2 linked regions of the Neodiprion lecontei genome follow. The protein of the gene in region 2 binds, or shares a complex with, the protein of the main gene of each other region. Links are inferred from orthologs where the notes say so. Each region holds a gene or a part of one and is shown on either strand. Other genes may lie near its edges.

The links.
Region 1: the proteins of apoptosis-inducing factor 1, mitochondrial (region 2) and mitochondrial intermembrane space import and assembly protein 40-B are in contact, whole or in part, in a cryo-EM structure (PDB 9GQZ), measured with the Homo sapiens proteins. The link is inferred for Neodiprion lecontei from reciprocal best matches to the Homo sapiens genes AIFM1 and CHCHD4. Residues at the interface, in NP_004199.1 of Homo sapiens: Pro345, Tyr347, Ser500, Ser501, Leu502, Pro503, Thr504, Val505, Gly506, Val507, Phe508, Ala509, Lys510, Glu558, Asp559, Tyr560, Asn602, Ala605, Lys606, Phe608, Asn609, Ile610, His611; in NP_001091972.1 of Homo sapiens: Arg5, Glu7, Lys9, Asp10, Arg11, Ile12, Ile13, Phe14, Val15, Thr16, Lys17, His20, Thr22, Pro23.

Annotation. Positions count from the first base shown.
Region 1 is NC_060266.1:760,182-763,517, forward strand, and holds mitochondrial intermembrane space import and assembly protein 40-B, read left to right. Parts: upstream 1-1,795; coding exon 1,796-2,269; 3' UTR 2,270-2,725; downstream 2,726-3,336. Other genes in the region: ribonuclease P protein subunit p14, read left to right, coding at 1,208-1,230, 1,429-1,726.
Region 2 is NC_060265.1:5,860,575-5,868,834, reverse strand, and holds the start of apoptosis-inducing factor 1, mitochondrial, read right to left. Parts: upstream 6,072-8,260; 5' UTR 5,999-6,071; coding exon 5,908-5,998; intron 5,531-5,907; coding exon 5,223-5,530; intron 5,133-5,222; coding exon 5,078-5,132; intron 4,868-5,077; coding exon 4,719-4,867; intron 4,659-4,718; coding exon 4,528-4,658; intron 4,439-4,527; coding exon 4,263-4,438; intron 4,179-4,262; coding exon 3,987-4,178; intron 3,813-3,986; coding exon 3,616-3,812; intron 3,525-3,615; coding exon 3,272-3,524; intron 3,131-3,271; coding exon 2,946-3,130; intron 2,829-2,945; coding exon 2,556-2,828; intron 2,466-2,555; coding exon 2,394-2,465; 3' UTR 1,839-2,393; coding exon of another isoform or gene 1,722-1,838; 3' UTR 1,634-1,721; coding exon of another isoform or gene 1,418-1,633; 3' UTR 1,334-1,417; coding exon of another isoform or gene 1,156-1,333; 3' UTR 856-1,155; coding exon of another isoform or gene 539-855; 3' UTR 465-538; coding exon of another isoform or gene 114-464; 3' UTR 34-113; coding exon of another isoform or gene 1-33. Other genes in the region: protein broad-minded-like, read left to right, coding at 1-33, 114-464, 539-855, 1,156-1,333, 1,418-1,633, 1,722-1,838; uncharacterized protein LOC107221093, read right to left, coding at 6,392-6,442, 6,529-6,743, 6,822-6,974, 7,102-7,105. UniProt on the Homo sapiens protein: Functions both as NADH oxidoreductase and as regulator of apoptosis.

The sequences.
Region 1 (3,336 bases), on a different chromosome or scaffold from region 2:
AACTGTCACGGATATGAAAAGTGAAAAAAAGTATAAAAGGAAAAAAATAAAAAATAACGGATGCCCAATGCGTATCTATCAACGTTGCCCTCCGATTTCACCCGGGCATGCAGGCGGACGCGGAGGCTGGCCGGCGTCGCCCCTCGAGACCGCTTTGTGGATCTGCTCATAATTTATTGGGAGCTGCCTGCCAGACCAAACCGTAACAACGCTGCGCTACGTTGCGTCGCGTTACGTCGCGTCGCGTTGCGCTGCGTCACCGAGCCGGCCCAACCTTCCTACCAGCTTCCTACCTACCTACCTACCGACCAAGTCGAGGGATTGTTCTGCAAACTTGTTCACCGATAAGCGCCGAGATATATGGACCTCGTTATGTCGCTCCGTCCGTTCTATTACTTACACTCATCCTTTCGCGGACCCTCAATCAGAGCGGCTTAAACTTACTATGCTTCAGCCCGCCCCGCCGTGTATACCACACACGTTATACATACCTATATAATCATACGCACCGTGCTAGTGTGTTAGTTACCACGTATCGTACGCGTACGTGCAATCGGTTCATTCTTGCGATGACCGTGTACGATCCTGCAGCAGAGATAACCATTGGAAATTCAGTCGCTAAAGGGTATTCTTGCTATAAGGAGTCTCCCAAATATAACGATATCGCATAGATAGGGTACCCGAAGTAGGCGTTATGCATGTACGGATGGATGACATGGTTTGCATCGATTTATTTCAGGCTGACGATGACGCACACGCTCCTTGCTTCTTGCGAGCAATTTCACTCGCGTATCTGGAATACAGTACCTATTCTCTACCGTTAAAATCTAATATTTCCATTTCCATCGAGCCTGATCCGGCAGATTATGAAGTGAAATTCGTAGGTCGCTTTGCGCCTGTACGACCACGCGACGCAACCGGGCATACACGAGATCGTTTCAATCTCTGCCGGGTTGAAACGGCATCTGTGGGGGGCAAGTTGAACCACGCGGCGTAGTTATGCAACACCGAAGTTCTAGAATTCCAGCCTGCAGGCCATACCGGCGTGGCGAATGGTCGACGGTGATACGGGTGCGTCCGTAACTATTGCTAACTTCTCGTTCTGCCGTTTATTATCAAGGAATAGTAAATTTCCCTCGAAATCGTTGTACGATTTACGCTGCCGTCAATGTGAGTGAATTGTGGCCAACGATTATTACTGTGTATCATGCGTTACTTAGACGTCTCTTTGTTAGTATGCCATTGATTTCTCGCACGTTATCGTAGTACTAACCTAACCCGGATCGGGATCTAACCTTGAATTAAGGAAAAAAAAAAATAAAGAAAGACACGGAATGCAGCTCCTCGGTCGCGAGGAGAAACTCCGTTCACCTCACTAGGGATCGTAAACATTTTAACATCTATTTTTTTTATTCTCTTCGTTTACAGAGAACTTCCCAACGACTCGAACCGTGAGATAAGTGCGGTATTTTTGAAGAAGCATGTTATGCAGGCTGTGAAAAAATTATTCGGAGCTGTTGGGGCCAAGTCGCAAGTAGATATACTCAAGTACAACGTCAGCGACCGCAGATTCGTCCTTCGCTGTCAATCCGACAGCTACGTTAGACTGAGAGCCGCTTTAACGTTGGCCAGTGACTACGAAGGGGAGCCTTGCGTTTATACCGTTCATAAAGCGTCTGCGAATCTTCTATCTCTAGCTGCCGATAGCAGGACTTTTGTTCATTAAGTAAATTTGGTAGTATTGTTCAGTTTTTTCAAGTCATAGATTTAAGGTTAAATCAATCGTCGTTTAGTCATGTCGATTGTTAGAAAAGAGGGTAAGGACACAATAATATTTGCCTCCAAAGAGGATCACGCCTCTCCCAGTAAAGTGAATCTTCCCGAACCCGAGCCAAGTCCCGGTTTGATACTGGCCAACGGAGAAATAAACTGGAACTGTCCGTGCCTCGGTGGAATGGCGACTGGCCCTTGTGGTCTTGAATTCAGAGAGGCGTTCTCTTGCTTTCACTACTCCGCCGCAGAGCCAAAGGGCTCGGATTGCTACGACGCTTTCAAAACCATGCAGACTTGCATGTCCGAGTATCCTGCGCTGTACGGAAACAAGGAAGCCGACCTCGACGATCTTGGTCAGGCTGAGAGTCAGGCGGTAGTTAGCAAAGACTCTGAAGATCCGATAAAGGACAGTAGAGAAAGCAAGAGCGATGAGAATGGGATCGAAGCGAGCAGTGGTAGTAAAAACGAGATGCAACACTCGGTAGGGTCCAAATGAGAGATGTATTTACATATTATTGACAACGTTAGATATTGTTACTTTATGTACTGCCAATTTAGTAATTCCTTCGTTAAACAATCGGCTGTTGGTCGATATATCTTCGAGGCATGTGGATCAAACAGTTGTACAAAATTTCATCTTGCCGTCGATAGATATCGAAGCTTAACCAATAGATTAGAATATCGGCAATGTTTTGTATCCCTGGTGTAGAAAGCGGTAGAATATTATCGTAGAGGAACAGTAAACTCTTTTCACTTACTACCAGTTGTAATCGTTCGAAAGCATATGGTGTGCCGAATTTCAATAGTTGTATCTATCATTCTTACGTGCATTTTTGTAACACGCACAGTTGTCTGTTGCGTGAAATTGCGATCATTTCTTTTCTTCTATGGTACTGCTATGTCACGAATAAACGAAAAATGGAGCGCTGCATCTGTTACATTTCCCAACGAACGCTGCTATTCATGTGTAATTGTGTGATTCCTGTTTATGCATATACGAGTAAACCGTGAGAGTAACATTTTGTTTCAAATGTAGAATAAACGAAGAGCAGGGGGGCCGATTCGTTACAACGCTCCAAGTCCCGTTAACGCCGTTTGAATTTGGCGCCGGATTCGGTTAGGTAGAAAGTAGTTGACGGTTCTGCCGTCGTTGGCGTTGACGCAGCGTGTGGCGGCCATGTGACGTCAAATTATCCCCCTAACAAGTTTACCGAGCACGTCGGAATCAACGAAGTTCCCCGTCCCGTATTTTCCTACCAGGATCGTTGGTTAGTGAGGGCCGAAACAGTGACGTGGTTAAAGCGTGTTATTTATACCGCATCGGTGTGATTACCTGAGCACGTTGAGTAGGATACGCGTGTGCATTCCTTGGCAGTGTCTAAGAGTGTCGGGTATTCTACGTGGGCGCTCAGTTTTTTGGCATGCGCCAGGTCGATGAAATGGAGTCTAACAATAAGCGAACCAAGCCGAAGGAAAAGCGACGGTGAGTCCTTGCACAAGTTTCTGTTCAATCAATGCCCGCTTTTTCGACGAGTCGATCTTTTTCCATCTCACGATTCTTCG
Region 2 (8,260 bases):
AATATTTTTTTGAAGCACGTACTGAATTATCAGGTACGAATTATAAAAGAATTCAAAGTATCTACAGCTTGATTTATGCAACAAATCAATGTGAACTTTTGTTGTTTGTAAAGGAACTACTCCTCAATCTTCAAGAAACGTGTATCATCGAGATAGAAAGCGATGGCGAACTTAAAATAATATATGCAATTGATGAGGCAGGTTTCCTTCGCCACAAAGTACTTTTGAAATCCTATTGCATTATAAGTAAATTCATTGGTGATACAGCAGTGCTAGAGCAGACAGAATTGTTTTCTAAATTACCGCCTCCTGTGAAATTTGATGTGGAAAAACTTTGCCCCACCATACCCTTACATTCAGAATTAGGAAGATTTCTCCAAGAAAATAAGCCTGGACTCAGAGATAATGGATGGGTGTCACAAGCGAGGAAAGCTCATAAGATTTCTAGTAAAGAACCAATACAAGTAAGCATCAAATTTCAGCAGATAAGAGTTTCTCTTTTTCAGATCTGATGTTAAATTTTTTCAAATATGTTTAGCATTCCGTCGTGATTAATCTACTTGATCAAATGCAAAAGGCAGTTCCTGAATTAGAATTGACAAACCATTTCGAGTGGCCAGTGCATAATGATCACGACACACTGATGCCCCAAGAAGTTTACGGCATTGAATTAACTTTGCTGTACGCAGAACAAAATCGGCTTATGAAAGTTACGTCACTTGCGAAAACAAACTTGAAAATTTTCTTGAAAGAGGTTCACGGATTCATTAAGTATTACGGGTGGAAAAAAAATTTTGAAGGATTCGACTGGTTCATTGCAAGTGTTTTTATTATTTGTAATGGAGATATGGACAGGTGAGCATACGCAATTTTTAATTTTGTTGCCTCAGGTGGCCGCGAATCACGCTTTTCAGAAGTAAAGTTCTGTAACTAATTGCCGCAATTTGTTAAAGACCTTGTACTTTCCATAAAAAGTGACTCTAGCAAACCATATTTCATCATAGGCAGGTCTCAGATTGAAAACTTCACCGTCATTGCAGTAGCTTGAAAGTTACGTGGCTCAGTTTTAATGGATCATCACTGACCTGCCAAAGTTAATGTAAAAATCAAAACCAATTTTACATCACTTTCCTAATGAGTTGTATACTTTTCAAGGTGTAAAACTTTCATCACGCAAATAGTTCAATTCCCATCGATTATGTACATTTGGCCTATGCTAGGGAAAGCTGTGAGTCGTGAACAGAATTTACCTGTAAACTTTCAAACCACATTCTCACATCTCCTGGAAAATATCGTTGCAAATGAATTGCCTAGCATCAAATACGCTTTAAAGGTTTTTGTCTTAACATAGTGGATTTTTCAAAACTCAGACCCGGAATTTTTCTTAAAAATAATATGTGTCTGTCAAATTTCACAGAACAACTGCGGTACAGACTGGTGGATTATTTGTGATGAAATCATATCTCAATGTTTCTGGAGGATACTACCATGGTGCGAAATCATACATTTGCTAACCATTTGTATTTTGTATCCAGCTGACTATCCGTTGTATTACTGTACATCGTTGTTACACTACAGTCAAAACCAACTTTTAGAAGATGTAACGGCTGGAAAAATGTGGCCAGAACATATGGTGCGTAAAATTATTCTCGTAGCTTAAAGCAGCGAGAGTTTTCAAAAATCACAGTAATTTTATCGTACATATGATTTCAATGTTACAGGATTTAACTGACTATCGATCTGGAAATCATTTACAATTGATGGATCTTTTATCGAAACGGTATCGCAATATGACTTTGCCCCTGCTTACATACCAAGAGGCAGCGTTAGTTACATGATTTCCTATCTAATTACCAAGACCGAACTTCTTCCAGAAGTAATAACAAGTACTGCAATAAGCACAATACTTTAATATGACAATCATTTAATTAAGCACAGTGTACGCAGGAAATTACAATAAAATGTATGTTGATTACTGTTACTACTGCATAGTTTTTGCAGGTGATGAGAGTCACTAAACAATTAAAACCAGAATATTTACTTAACGGTGAATAAAAACTATCATCCGTATTCACCATCAATGATGTCCTTTATTTTCTAACAATGTGCATAATTTAGCGTTCGATATTTATATATTTATTGTAATATAAATGCACATAGACTTTGTACGATTGCGAGAAAATGTGACAATTACCCGGGTTTCGGATAAAACACTAACTTCCTGATTCTAAGAGAAATGATATCTACAATATTTTATGTTTCCTAAAGTTTATCTGTCAAATCATTAGAGATCGTACCTTAGTACAGGGTGTAAAATACATACAAGAACTAGATAGCAAGTAACACGAATATTTACAAACAGTGATTCGATGGTAAATGCAACTTCAGTGCCATCAGTCTTCGTGAATGCTAAACAGTTTAGCTACCTCGTTCAGATCGTCGTACCTTGTTCCACTAGCCAAAACCTGGAGAGTTAATTATTCGTTTTATCAGATCCCAAATATATCATGCCCACTGGAAAATGAGCATAGAAATCCATGAAAGTAGTAGCCTACCTGTCGAGCAATGGACATGCGATTGAATATGTTCCACAAGACAATGCCGACTACGACGTCATCGCGTATATAGAATATAACTCCCTTTCCAAAGTCGTCACGGGGCTTCTCTACTTTATTTCCTCCCTCGTCTTCACATGATTTACTGTCTTTTTTGTCACTTTTGACATTCTTTATAGACTCTGCTGACTTCAACCCTTCTACAGGTGCGTGCTTCTGGGATACCGGTGTTGCTTGTATAATTGCTGCCGATTTGTTACCCTGTGAATTGTGCTGCGGGAAGAATATACAATTAAACTAAGAACAGTAAAAATTGCTTACAATCATAATGCAACATGATGTATGATATTTCGAGATAAACCAAAGATAAACCAAACTGCATATTTTCACCTCTTCACTAACTGATCTCAAACCCTCGTTGGATGCAGTGACAGCAGCAAGTGGGGTGTCTTGATCCGTTGCCTTAGCAAAGACCCCTACTGTTGGTAAGGATGCGTCAACGATCCCTATTGCTTCGTAACCAATTTCAGGTCCAAGATCTGACCAGAACATGGACTGATGCAAGTAGGGTTTACCTGAAACAGGACGCAAGTTTATAGATTCATGCTCTACAAGTTAATCGATGAGTACTGCTATTTGATTGGTATAAGTTGCAGTAAACGCTATTTCTGCTGTTATTAAGCATCAAATCTATGGACAAAGAAAACTTAAACTACCAGCGCCAGTCATATTTTCGCCTGCTAATCTTCCAGATATAACAGCGTGATCGTGATGCTCAACTCGCCTTCTGCCCAATCTCACGTCATAGAAACAAGCTGCATCCCCTGCGACCCATAAATCGCTCCTTGCTTCTAATTCAGCATTAACAAGATAACCACCAACTTTTGTGTCAATTTCAAGATTAGAAGATTGAGCTAATTGAGTATTCGCTTGCGCACCAACTGCTACGATTACTTGATCTGCGTCAATCTGTTAATTACAAACACAGAAATTCCCAGTTACAAAAATATAAATCTTTAGTCATTATGCCCTTCATTTTGTAAATTAAGGATTTACTCACTTTGGAACCATCTGTTAAAATTAGTTTCAAGTGCCCACCCTTCATTTCGACATCTGCAACCTCAGTTTCAGGCATACATCTCACTCCTTCGAGCATTGCTTTGGTCGTAGTCCATTCACTCAAGTATTCAGGCAGCACTTGAGCCATTATGTATTTTTCTTTAAAGATCTGATGAACCGTTTTTTGGTCTGGATTTACTGCAAAATTCAAAACTCAGTCACCAGAGCATTTTCACGATACCTGCCAGGATTATTCACACACATTTGAGTCCATTTGAATTTTTTTCCTTTCATTAGATAATCTGTAGCACCAATCAACTAAAAAATGGTTGATAACCGAGTTGTGCAACGAAGGTGCAGAGTAACACTTACAGTTTCTGACCAAAGAACACGCAACTTCGGAACCAAGGAATCCTCCACCAACAATAACTATATTCTGTACTGCTGAATCACGAATGCTCTCCTCTAGCTTGAGGAAGTCTTCTATTGTTCTGAATGGTACGATCTTACTTTTAACTGCATCATCCGCAGTTTCAAATATTGGAAGGTTCTTGGGCGAGGCACCTATAGAATTCATTTTTCATTGAATTAAATATCACGATAGAATACTTAGTATATAGCATTATTTGTTTCGAAAGGTAAACACACCAGTGGCTAATAAACATTTTTCATATTTTATTTTGTGACCATCTTCAAGTACTGCCGTCCTATTAACGACGTCAATTTGACTAACTTTCCATCCTAAAGCTACGCCGATACCTCCTTTATGTGATTGTGCTAATTCTGGAACAGGAGTGTAAAATTCTGGAGGCTCATAGAACAAGCTGGGGAGAAAACGAGTGAGTTATTCAATTGCATGGTAAAAACTGCATTAAAGCTCAGATTATCCACCGGATCATAATATTGTGACTACCTTCGGTCTGACCCGTTCCATTGTTTGAATTTTAATTTCTCTGTAGTCTCTCTGTCTTTGTTATACCAAAGCTCTTTGGACAACGGGGGCCTCATGTAGGGGAGGTCCCCTTCTTCCGTTACAACCAGAACCTAAAGTAATGAATAGTGTGAAATAATCCAATTCTTATGAGAATCTGTAGAATCAACTACCTTTGCTGTGGGATCTCTTGATTTTATAGACCTGAATGCTGAGAAAGCAGCTGTTCCTCCCCCGATCAAGAGGTAAGGAATTTCTGTTACTATTTCTGAAGAGACAGCTGGAATCTTAACTTTCTTTCTCTCTGCTTTTTTCTTCTTCTCTGGGAGAAAGAAATATAAATTGTAGTAACTACTCCGTAGACCAATAATAAAATTTGAGTGGCAGATAAGTACTACACTTTTATCTCTACCTTCTAGTTCAGTAAACTTATTCATTTCATTAAGGCCTAATCATATTTTACTGAGTGATAATAAACTGGCTCATTTTGATATATTATGTGCAATATTAGTTATCACAACTCTAGTCTTACTTTGTTTCGGTATTTGAAGCGTTTCAGATGTTTGCAACCAGCCCATTCGATTCACCTGCAAAAGCATTAAGAATTGTAATTTCTTCAAATAAATATTGCAACTTTACTTCCCTAAAGTGAAAAGTTTCTTTCTCAATATAGTTACCATGTACATGGTGGCTCCAGTGATGAAGAGAGCAGCCAGCAATTGCATCCATACCCGTTGCTGCTTCTTGCGGTTGCCATCCTCCTCGAATGGTTCTGGCCTTTTACCACAATCCCGGTTGGGACTCAAAGGGCATTCAACATTCGGATCGATTGGACAAACAGGATCTGAGGAAAATGATCCCTTCGATTTCGACTGATTTGAAGGAATGCATTCTTCCGCTTTCAATGTAGTGCCAGGTGGTCTGTTAGGATTACCCGGCTTCTTATCACCGGCATCGCTGTAGTTTCGACTGGCATTTATAATACCTGAAATTTTTTATGTGCAAAAAAAAATTAGAAACTAAAATGATGTCTTACTCACGAAATCTACTGAAAATTATATTTGAATTGTAGGTTAACTGAAGTCAAATAATCGCCGCAGGGTGGTTCAAGGTGTAGGGAAATCAGTGAAAAATCTGACACGATACTTAGTTTTCTGAACGAAAGGAGGACAGTTAAAAATATTCGTATTTTCTTTCTGATTATTTGTACAACTTTAGGACTCGCTTATCATCGACTACTAAATGTACGTGTTAAAATCTTCGAATAGTCTAGAAAAACATCACGGTGCCGCATGAGGTTTTCGGAAGTTATTCGATAGACTTTAACTTGACAATCAAATAATTTTTTCGTTTTATACTCACCGATATATTTTAAAGGAATCTGCTCGTAGCTCAGGCATGGTTTTCTTGTAATTTTTGATAAATTCTTGATCGCGTACCCGTATCTTAACATTTTCACAAATTACTTTTGGTGCTACGGGCGCGCGGCCCTAGACTCTAAGGGCAATATGGCGATAATCCCGGTTATAGTTAAATTTTCGATTTGTGCCTCTGATGCCGCCACCTGTGACCAACACGCTAGGAACTAAACATATATTTTTTCGCTCCGCATTTAGACAGCGCTCTGTCTTACCGAGCGGACCTGGACAGAGAATCCTAGAATTTAAAAAACTTGGGGGACATGACGTTAACATTGTTTATAGATTAGATATCGCATTTTATCCCTGCAAGATGTAAAGAATACGATTGAAAACAAATAACGTAATGAACATCGACTAATTCAAGAGATTTATTTATTGGAGTGCTACAGAAACAATTCTTGTTCCAATCGTTTCTCAATACTTTGTCAGTAAAATAGCGGAACATTGTATCCTCGAACGTATCCGAATTTGTGCATCTGTGAAAATAGAAATTAGAGTGACACTTTTATGATTAAAAGGCATAATTTAGGTTGAGATTTCAGGGATGCATTGACATTCGTACAGCTATTATAGTGAATATGAAAAATCCTCCTCCGATCATTAAAGCTCTATTAGACTGCCTCATCTTCGTATCAAACTTCTGTTGCCACGATCCACAGGGAACTGGCAATTCGTCCATTAAACAAGTATTTTCGCACGGCTCAGGACATTGAATTGGTGCATAACAATCTTTCGAGAGCAATACTCTAACTGCCCTCAACTTCCGTGGAAATTGTCCTAAGATATGAAAAATGTGACTTTGTTGACAAAAATATAATTACATATAAAAGAATAGTGATCGATTCTGAGATTTACCCAGTATCATTTTTCTGGAATGAAGAATTCCAATTTTGCAGCATGTAAAAGTTGCGCCACGCCACATCACACGTAAAATGTACGCAGCAACTTTACGTTTACTGTTTACTGAGGCCCACGTGTTAATGTCTTGACCACGTTTAACTCGAGGATCTATATTAGAGGATCTCGTATTATATAGGAACAGACTTTATGGAGATTGAGGGTCGACTTCCCAAGGAAGAGGAAAAATAAATTCAAGGAAAACTACAACGGTCCAAGCTGCCAGACGTTCTCGTACCCATTTTGGGAGAATATAAAAATGAAAATCAACGAGTTGCCACGAGTGAAAGACAAAGGAGTTGCGCAGGTGGGTGTCGTCTGCTTGTCGGCTGCTGCAGGCTGGTGCTGTCAATAAATATTGGCCAACTTCACTTTTCTCCATCAGACTCCAGTCGCCTTCGCTGCACTTCACAGCAGTCACACGAGCCCGCAGCACTCGTAGCAAGCTTCAAAGTTGTAAACAGTATCACAGCTGTTCCGGACGTAATTAACCATTTTTAACTTGTAATTGGTGTTTGTTTCTGAATTCCAGTAAATTAAAAGTGTTTTATACCCATATAGACTGCACCACTATTTCAAATATTTTTCGAACAATCTGCAGTAAAGGTACAATGCCGATGTTACTATAATTTTTACTTTTTTTTCGTTGAATCCTTTCAAGGTGAATGAATCATTTGAACGATGTGTCATTCACCTGCCGATACGCAGTTAGTAGTGATATAGGTACTGCATTAAATTGTGATGGAATTTTCTAGAATAATTTCAATGACGCATCATTATTTCGGTACTTATCTAAAATTTACACTTTTTTTCGTGCTTTTTGATCCCAGTTAAAACTACATCTTATCATGAATGTTATTAAAAATGTAACCTCAAGATTTACTTTTCGTGTTTACAAACAGATCAATACATCCTCATACTTGTTATATACATGGGTTTACAAAGTGTTATCTTTGCCTGCTAAACTTCTGTTGTCCGTGTTACAAAGAAAAAAGAAAAAAGTCGTCAATTCTACATTGATTATTGATTAAGTGATTGCATGTTAATATTCATTGTATTGAAAAATAAATAACAATTTCCATATCTTATTTAAGGAAAATCTTTTCTCTCCCTATTCGTTTAATTCAGAGTAAATCATCATTGTGTTACCATTATTTATACACACTTAAGTTAGTGAATAAATTAAATAAATTTATGCAAACAGTTTTAATGTCTGACCGACAAATTGGAAATAGGAATTAGCGATCACAAGGAACAAAATAAACACTCTGGAAAGTGGCTGTGTGTTTCCATACTGTCTTGCACCAAATGAAGTTCTTTTTATAGATAGCGTCTGACCTCTTTGGCTACAGCTGTTAGAGCATTCAGCTAGTGGTCGAATTTTACTTCAAACCGCG